Drosophila melanogaster: one gene and its partner. The protein of the gene in region 1 interacts with the protein of each later gene in a pairwise test. Each region holds a gene or a part of one and is shown in the gene's direction. Other genes may lie near its edges. The genes, in order: Nin and ens.

Region 1 (3,923 bases):
ACCTGTATTCTCCTGACCACTGCTGGTGTTCTGCCCGTAAAGAGCTCCATCCACAGCAGTCATATAGTAAGATTTCTCAGTTTCGTAGGAATCATAAAGAGTTTGCTGTTCTTGTTCTGGCGGCTCCGATGGCTTGGCTTTTTGATCCATTAACTGCTTAAACTTGCGGGCTAGTATCTCTTCGGGACTGTACTCGACGCCTGCTCCTGGTGGATATACCAACTGCTTGGCATAGTGGCACACGCGCGAGGGATCATCAGGCTCTTCAAGCGTTAGAGCCGGCTTCCATGTCTCATGGTTGTTGCGCCCGTAGGCGTGGAAATTGCGCGGCAAGCGTAGGCCAGCCACTTCATTTGTCACCGGAGGACTTTGTTGAGGAGGTGGATTGCCGTTGCCGTTTTGTTGCTGCTGCGGCTGCTGTGCGTGCAACTGCGGTACTGTAGTTTGTTGCGGCGGCAACTGTGACTGTTGGGCTGGTGCATAATGGGACTAAAACAAAAAAGGAGTATTTATCAAGTAGCTTTGATATTAAATTTAATGCTCACCTCTGCCACAGGAGCATAATGCGATTGTTGCTGGACTTGGGATGGTGGTATTGCTGTTGGGGACTGAGTTGCAGGATGTGGTTCATAGCGCGGCCGCTCCTGGTAGTGTGTCTGATAGGGGACCTGTTGTTCTGGCGGCAGTTGCTGTTGTGGCGCCGGCTGATGAGGCTGTGGGGCTTGATGTGCCTGCGCCTGCGGATGATATTGCTGATAGACATTCTGCTGATATGGCTGGGGACGGTGTTGATTATAGCTCTGTGGCATCTGCTGCTGTGCATAGTTCGTGAGTTGCTGCAGTGCATCCTGCGGGGGATGTTGCTGGTGCTGCTGTTGTTGCTGTTGTTGCTGCTGTTGCCGCTGGTAAAAAAGAGACCTGGCATAGGCGAACTTGGTGTGGGCGTGCTGCAGCTCGGAAGTGCTCTGCGCCTTCTCCTGGAAGGCCAAGTTAAACACCGCCTCCGCATCCTTATACTCCTCGCGAGACTCGTAATAGGCAGCCCATCCAATGTAGAAGGCGGCCACCTGGCGACCAGTTCCTCGCTGAAAAAGCACCTGGTAGAAATGGAGTGGATCCGTTTGCATGGCTATGTACTTCAGCCACAGCCGCACCAAACGGACATCCTGGCGATAGTAGTCATTGTGCTCATACACCGTCAGGCAGCGCTCCAGAGTTTCGCGGTACTTTAGCTCCGGATCGCTTTGCGCGTGATTCTCGTACCAGCAGATGTAGTTGTACCAATGATCGAGTGGATCAGGACCCTGGTACAGGGATATGGCGTGCTCCCAAGCCTGCTTGTCGTTCAGGAAGCCGTGCATCTCGTCCGGGCTGGCCAGCGGCGGTGCTCCAGCTGCGACTGCTCCTGCTCCTCCTCCGGAACCCGATCCCTGGCGCATGTACGAGTGCATGGCCATCTCGGCCGGACGCGGAATCCTCTGATCCCGCTGCGCCGTAATGCAAACAAATGAATGCGAGACTGTGGTTTCTACGGGTCACCACCAAAAAGTCTCGGATTGCGGAATGTAGTGCCCCTTGCCGATTGGACTGGTTAGGGTCCACTAACTCAGTTAATCCCTCGGCGTCTTCGGCTGTCACTGGTGGCACATACACATGATTTTCAGTTGGATTTTTCAACAGTTTGCAATGCTCAAAGATATTTTGTATTTTTTCTTGCTTTTCAGCTTGCAAATGGAATTTATTAGTGCTGCCAAACAATCGATAGAACCATTGGCTGTCACTGTTGACGATGGCTATGCACAAGGTTATCGATAGTGCGATAGAAACGTGTTGTTGGGAATTTTTAAACAAAAGCAATTTTTTGTACAACTTTACTTTTTATTTATTTATTTGTTGCCAAAGTTCAATTTTATTAATAAAACTATAGGGTTCTTTGTTTTAAATTATTGTAGTTTGAATGACGCACAATATATGTGTGTGTGCTATGAAGCACTTCCTATTTGATATACTTTTTGTATAATTATAATCTATTATTGGAAAACAACATGTTAATCGGATGATTTCAATTTATGTCAAGTTTTCTACTTTAATAAGGGGTCTGGTTGGAGCTGAAGCTTTCCAAGTAAAGTTAGCGATTTATTATATGGCATTACGTTCTCCCTTGTTATCTATTTATTTTGTAATATAAATATTCAAATCCTAAACGATAGTTGTATAACGATAGGAACAATGGTCCACGATAGTGCCACCTCCGATGCAAGTTTGCTTAATGCCCTCCAGAGCGCGCCACCGTGCTCGCTATTACTGCATTATTGTTTTTTATCAACTCGCTAGAAATTACGCTATTCCCAAAAAAACCGCAAACCCGCGAGTGTTTATGTTGCGTTCCGAAGTGCATATCATAGATTAGTAGTATTAGTAACCCCTCAAACAGCCTGCTGTCCAAAAAACACGCGTGATTCCCCCGCCACCCACGCACATAGACCCCGATATTTCACTTTTCTTGTTTTCGACCCCTGACTGCGTTTGTGGATTTTCCCCCCAAGAAAAAAAAAGCGAAGTGAAAACGCAATTGAGCAGCCGATCGATTGGAACGGCAGCAAACTGAATTCCCCGGGTTACGGATAATGGAGGTATCCGCCGATCCGTACGAGCAGAAGCTCTACCAAATGTTCCGCAGCTGCGAGACGCAGTGTGGACTTCTGGACGAGAAGTCCCTGCTGAAGCTCTGCTCACTGCTGGAGCTCCGGGATCAGGGATCCGCACTGATCGCCAGCCTGGGCGGCAGCCATCAGCTGGGCGTGTCCTTTGGCCAGTTCAAGGAGGCGCTACTCAACTTCCTGGGCTCCGAGTTCGATGGTAATACGTCATCGGGTTTCATTGGTGAGATAGCACAAAGAATCGATCACGCTATAGATTAACTTATATAGTATAAAGATAATATTTGCTATAAGCTAACGCGACAGGTTCGCATAAAACAACATACGTTTTATCTGTAATTGCGCTTTAATTACCCATCAAGCAACATCAGATAATTACGGAATGTTTGCCAGCCACTTATTAGAGATAGTAATTCAATTTTGACACGGATTTGGAACCGTGTGGGTTTCCCTATTAATAAAACACTGATCTAATGAACACATTTCTAGCAGTCTATAGATGAACAAAGCCATTACTTAATACTCAAAGAAGTGCTACCATCTACGTGCTAATTTGCAAGGATTATGCACATTTACTTCAAACCTCCGCTTATCTGATTTGGAAACTTCTGGGCAAATTTAGGACACCTTAGGGTACGAATATCATAATCAGCACGCGGATTAGCACGGCGGCAGCTGGCGATCATAAAATCATAGATGCAATTGACACTTTTTTACGACTCCCAACTGTTCTCGACTACCTGATCCTGCATGATCCTTATCAGGTAGATGGTTACAATGTCCTGTATAAATACGCGACACATTCACCTGGGCAGTTTAGTCTAAATCAAAATGGGAACACGATTGTATTACCGCCGATCCGGCGGTCAGTTAACAGATCCGATAATTGAGAAGCTAGCCGCTCGTTTTGGTAGCCACCTAAGATCCATACAACTCTTCCAGTTCTCTGCTAACTTATATCTATTGAATCTTCCAGAGCGTTCACTGGTGATTACGGATGAGCCGCTAAACAACACATACATCGAGAGTCCGCCGGAGTCTTCCGATCGCGAGGTTTCACCCAAACTCGTCGTGGGCACCAAGAAATACGGTCGCCGGTCTAGGCCACAGCAGGGAATCTACGAGTTATCCGTCACGGACTCGGACAATACGGACGAGGACCAGTTGCAGCAGCAGCAAAATCAGCGAAGCCTCAACGGATGCGATGAGCTGGGAGTTCAGGTGAGTGTCGTTTGTCAAGTCACGTACGAAGTGGCGATACAA
Region 2 (3,923 bases), on another chromosome or scaffold:
TAACGAAAAAAAAAAACTATTTGGTCTTAAATTAAATTTAACTTTTTTAGTTTTTTTTAACCTGATTTGAAATCCTCATCTATCTAACGTTTACATTGTAAACAAGAATTTTTAACTAATGTTTGCTTAAAACATATTCTTTTTATATATTGTTGAGCGTGTGTTCTTTTCCTCATTTACAGAATATTTTATGATCTGAACGTTTTTTTTTTATATTTGAATTTCAAATAATTACCTTTATGGACCTATCGGTGTTGCTAAGAAATCGATAAATGTAAAAAATACCAGGCCTAACCGTTGTGTTTTGGCGCCCAAGAAACGGCCACACTACAGCCCCACGCTTCAATTTGTTTGTGCGAATTTGTGAAATTGCACATAAAATGCCGGAAGAACCAGAGAAAACGGCGGACGACAAGCGCAGTCACTTGCCGTGGATTGAGAAGTACCGCCCCGTGAAGTTCAAGGAGATAGTGGGCAATGAGGATACCGTAGCAAGACTATCCGTATTCGCCACCCAGGGAAATGCACCCAATATTATTATTGCTGTGAGTTTGTGAGGAGTAAAATTAGTTTGGCGCCACTAATTGTGATCTATAGGGTCCTCCTGGCGTGGGCAAGACAACCACCATCCAGTGTCTGGCCAGGATTCTCCTGGGAGACAGCTACAAGGAGGCTGTCCTCGAGCTGAATGCCTCCAATGAACGAGGAATCGATGTGGTCCGCAACAAGATCAAGATGTTTGCTCAGCAGAAGGTGACACTGCCGCGGGGCAGGCACAAGATTGTGATTCTGGACGAGGCGGACAGCATGACGGAGGGTGCCCAGCAGGCACTGCGCCGGACCATGGAGATCTACAGCAGCACCACTCGTTTTGCCCTGGCCTGCAACACCAGCGAGAAGATCATAGAGCCTATCCAGTCCCGCTGCGCCATGCTACGATTCACCAAGCTGTCCGATGCGCAAGTTCTGGCCAAGCTCATCGAGGTGGCCAAGTGGGAGAAGCTTAACTACACGGAGGACGGACTTGAGGCCATCGTATTCACTGCCCAAGGTGATATGCGACAGGGACTGAACAACCTGCAGTCCACCGCTCAGGGATTTGGCGACATCACCGCTGAGAACGTCTTTAAGGTCTGCGACGAGCCGCACCCAAAGCTCCTAGAGGAGATGATCCACCATTGCGCTGCTAACGACATACACAAGGCCTACAAAATCCTGGCCAAGCTGTGGAAGCTGGGATACTCGCCGGAGGACATCATTGCGAACATATTCCGTGTCTGCAAGCGCATCAACATCGATGAGCATTTGAAGCTGGACTTTATCCGTGAGATCGGAATCACCCACATGAAGATTATCGATGGTATCAACTCGCTGCTGCAGCTCACCGCCCTTCTGGCCAAACTCTGCATTGCCGCCGAGAAGCATTAGATTTAATATGAACTATAGGTTAAAGAAATCTCAGAGATAAATAAAATTGGAGATAAATAAGTCCTTTTCAGTATTGAATACAAGTGTACCTAAATTTTAAACTGGGCACCGTTAGTTAACAGATTAATGTTAATTTCTATGTCAGCGCACTTAGAGCATATCGTCCCTAATGGAGTGTTAATTATTGCGCCCTTGGTATCGGAAGCTGAAATTATCATACAACATTAGATAATGTATTTATAGGACCGAATGATCATTAGTTTTTATACATAAAACCGGAGTTAGTTTTTATACATAAAAACCAATACGTTAGTTAACATTTCTAGTATTTTCGTAGAGCACACCACTATACAACAGTACGGTCGCATTAAGTAGATTATCGCAGCACTACAGAGCTGGCCACACTGTTTGCAGCGCTAAAGTAAAGTGAAATATGGCGAGTCTTGGGGGCCAACACGGAAATATTTCGACTAATCCAGAAGGTACGCATTGAAAACAACCCGCTGAGAGTGCGAAATCGAAGGACGAATGCCCCCGCGTCGAAAATCGGCCAGGATCTACGCGTTTTCGGGGCGTTTTCAGTGGCCAAAAAGTGCTGGTCGACTGCGCAGCAAAACGGCACTCACACCACGGCCAAAAAGCAAAAACGGAGTGAAGAGAGAAAAACGAAGAAAAAAAACAGCGAGGCGAGAGGCACAGAAAAGAAAAGAAGAGAAAAGCCGAGAAGCCAAAAGTGTCTGCCCCCTAGAAATGGGGGATATATGTATTTCGAGTTCCCCGATTCCGAACCGGAGTTTTGAGTTTATAAATAAGTTCCAGTCGGAAAAGTCGTTGGAACAAGAGAGAGGGAAACATACATTATTTTCTCGTACTTCTCACTGTCTCTCTCGCTTCGTCATCGCAGCTGCTGCCGTGCGCTTGTGTTCGTGCGTGTGTGTGTGTGTTTTTGTGTCCCCCTCCTTCCTCGCTCTTTCGCCTTCTTGTCACCTTTCCTTTTTGCCAAAACGCAACGGCAATTGATTTTCCCCACACACGAAAGCCAAAAGTCCGTGTAAAACTCCGGAAAATCGCAGCGAAACTCAATCGTCCATTTTTCTCGTACTTCTTTTGCAGTGGAAAACACAGCCAAGCGACCCGAAAGTCGCGAGGGCAGCGCCGAGCGAAAAGGTAAGCCTTCTATGCGGATTATCTTGCGAGTTACATAAAATCGGCACCAATGTATATCACACATACGCACTATATGTAATCGCTTTAACATCACCTATAACTCGAACCACAGCCCACGCATTCGCACCTGCCAAGATCTCGGGCTGCAGCGCCGGCGCAACCTTGCATTGGTTCGCCCAGGTGGGCGGTCAAATCTCCGCCAGTGAAGACGACTCTCAAGGTAGTTGGCATTCCATTCAGGCTGCTCCAAAGTCTTCCACAGCCACGCCCCGTTCTGTTCCGCCTCCAAAACGAATGCTCCGAATGTTTGCCGCATGATCTCACTAACAAATAAGACCCATAGTCCGCCTTATCGCGATTTTAACCGTCACTGGTCTATTGCAAGTCTTTCATAGCTGTTTTTCTAATAAGAAAATCTTCTTATCTATTCTCACCCAGTGACACGCTTTAAATCACTGTAGTTTCTAAACTGTCTAGATGTTACCCACTAAAGTGGGTTATTAAAAACTCAAAGCATCTTCAATTAACACCTAAAAGATCAAAATGTTATCTACACTTAAGGTCTAGCTTGATTTTAGATGGCAAGTCCAACTCTAATTATACAAATTTTAAAAATATGTATAGTCATATTTGACTAAATCATTGTGAGAATGCAAAACAAGGAATGATTAAGTTATTGGGAATTTGATCTTAATAACAATGTTCTCAAAGTTTGTTAAGTTAAATTGAACTACATGTTATTACGAGAGCAAAAAGGAAATGGATTTTATCAAGCGAAAAATCAATTGCAATGTTTTTGGCTTTCCAAAAACACAAGTAAATATGGCATACAGTGGGTTAAAATCCAGCAATTTTGCCTGCGACCTTGACAGCTGATAATTTCCCATTTGCAAGATATTTTCGCACCTGTAACTGGCAAAAAGATTGACTTGCAGTTGTTCCTTTGTCGTCTTGCTTACGTCATGGAATTCCAAAAATATCTTAACCGATAAGGCGATAAGAACCAGTTCCCAGTTCGATTATGCAGACTTTGGCAGCCAAACCGCATGCTACCAATATTATTGTTATTATTGTTAATTTTTTTTTTGCATTTTTCCGCCTCAATGTCATTTCAATAGAACAAAATGTGCGCCTGCATTAGCAATTTGCTTTCTATTTTCCTTTTATCATTTGTTTTTTTTGTTGTTCGCCCATTTTGCACATAGGCAAATTTGAAGCGGGGGCGGCGGTATTGTTGTCCGAGTATTTGTGCCATATTTGTTATTGTTGCTGCTGCTAGTTTGTCAATTGACCCACAAAATGCGAGTGTACATTGTCGATGACGTCAG

The links.
Region 2: the proteins of Nin (region 1) and ens interact in a two-hybrid assay, tested with the Drosophila melanogaster proteins (one study listed by BioGRID).

What each region holds. Positions count from the first base shown.
Region 1 is NT_033779.5:5,276,894-5,280,816, reverse strand, and holds the start of Nin (ninein), read left to right. Parts: upstream 1-2,268; 5' UTR 2,269-2,627; coding exon 2,628-2,883; intron 2,884-3,475; exon of another isoform or gene 3,476-3,491; coding exon of another isoform or gene 3,492-3,570; intron 3,571-3,636; coding exon 3,637-3,881; intron 3,882-3,923. Other genes in the region: Bub1 kinase, read right to left, coding at 1-489, 546-1,457. UniProt on the Drosophila melanogaster protein: Required for the positioning and anchorage of the microtubule minus-ends in various cells.
Region 2 is NT_037436.4:4,132,441-4,136,363, reverse strand, and holds the start of ens (ensconsin), read left to right. Parts: upstream 1-1,813; 5' UTR 1,814-1,861; coding exon 1,862-1,910; intron 1,911-2,541; coding exon 2,542-2,595; intron 2,596-2,707; coding exon 2,708-2,815; intron 2,816-3,923. Other genes in the region: RfC4 (replication factor C subunit 4), read left to right, coding at 381-545, 598-1,428.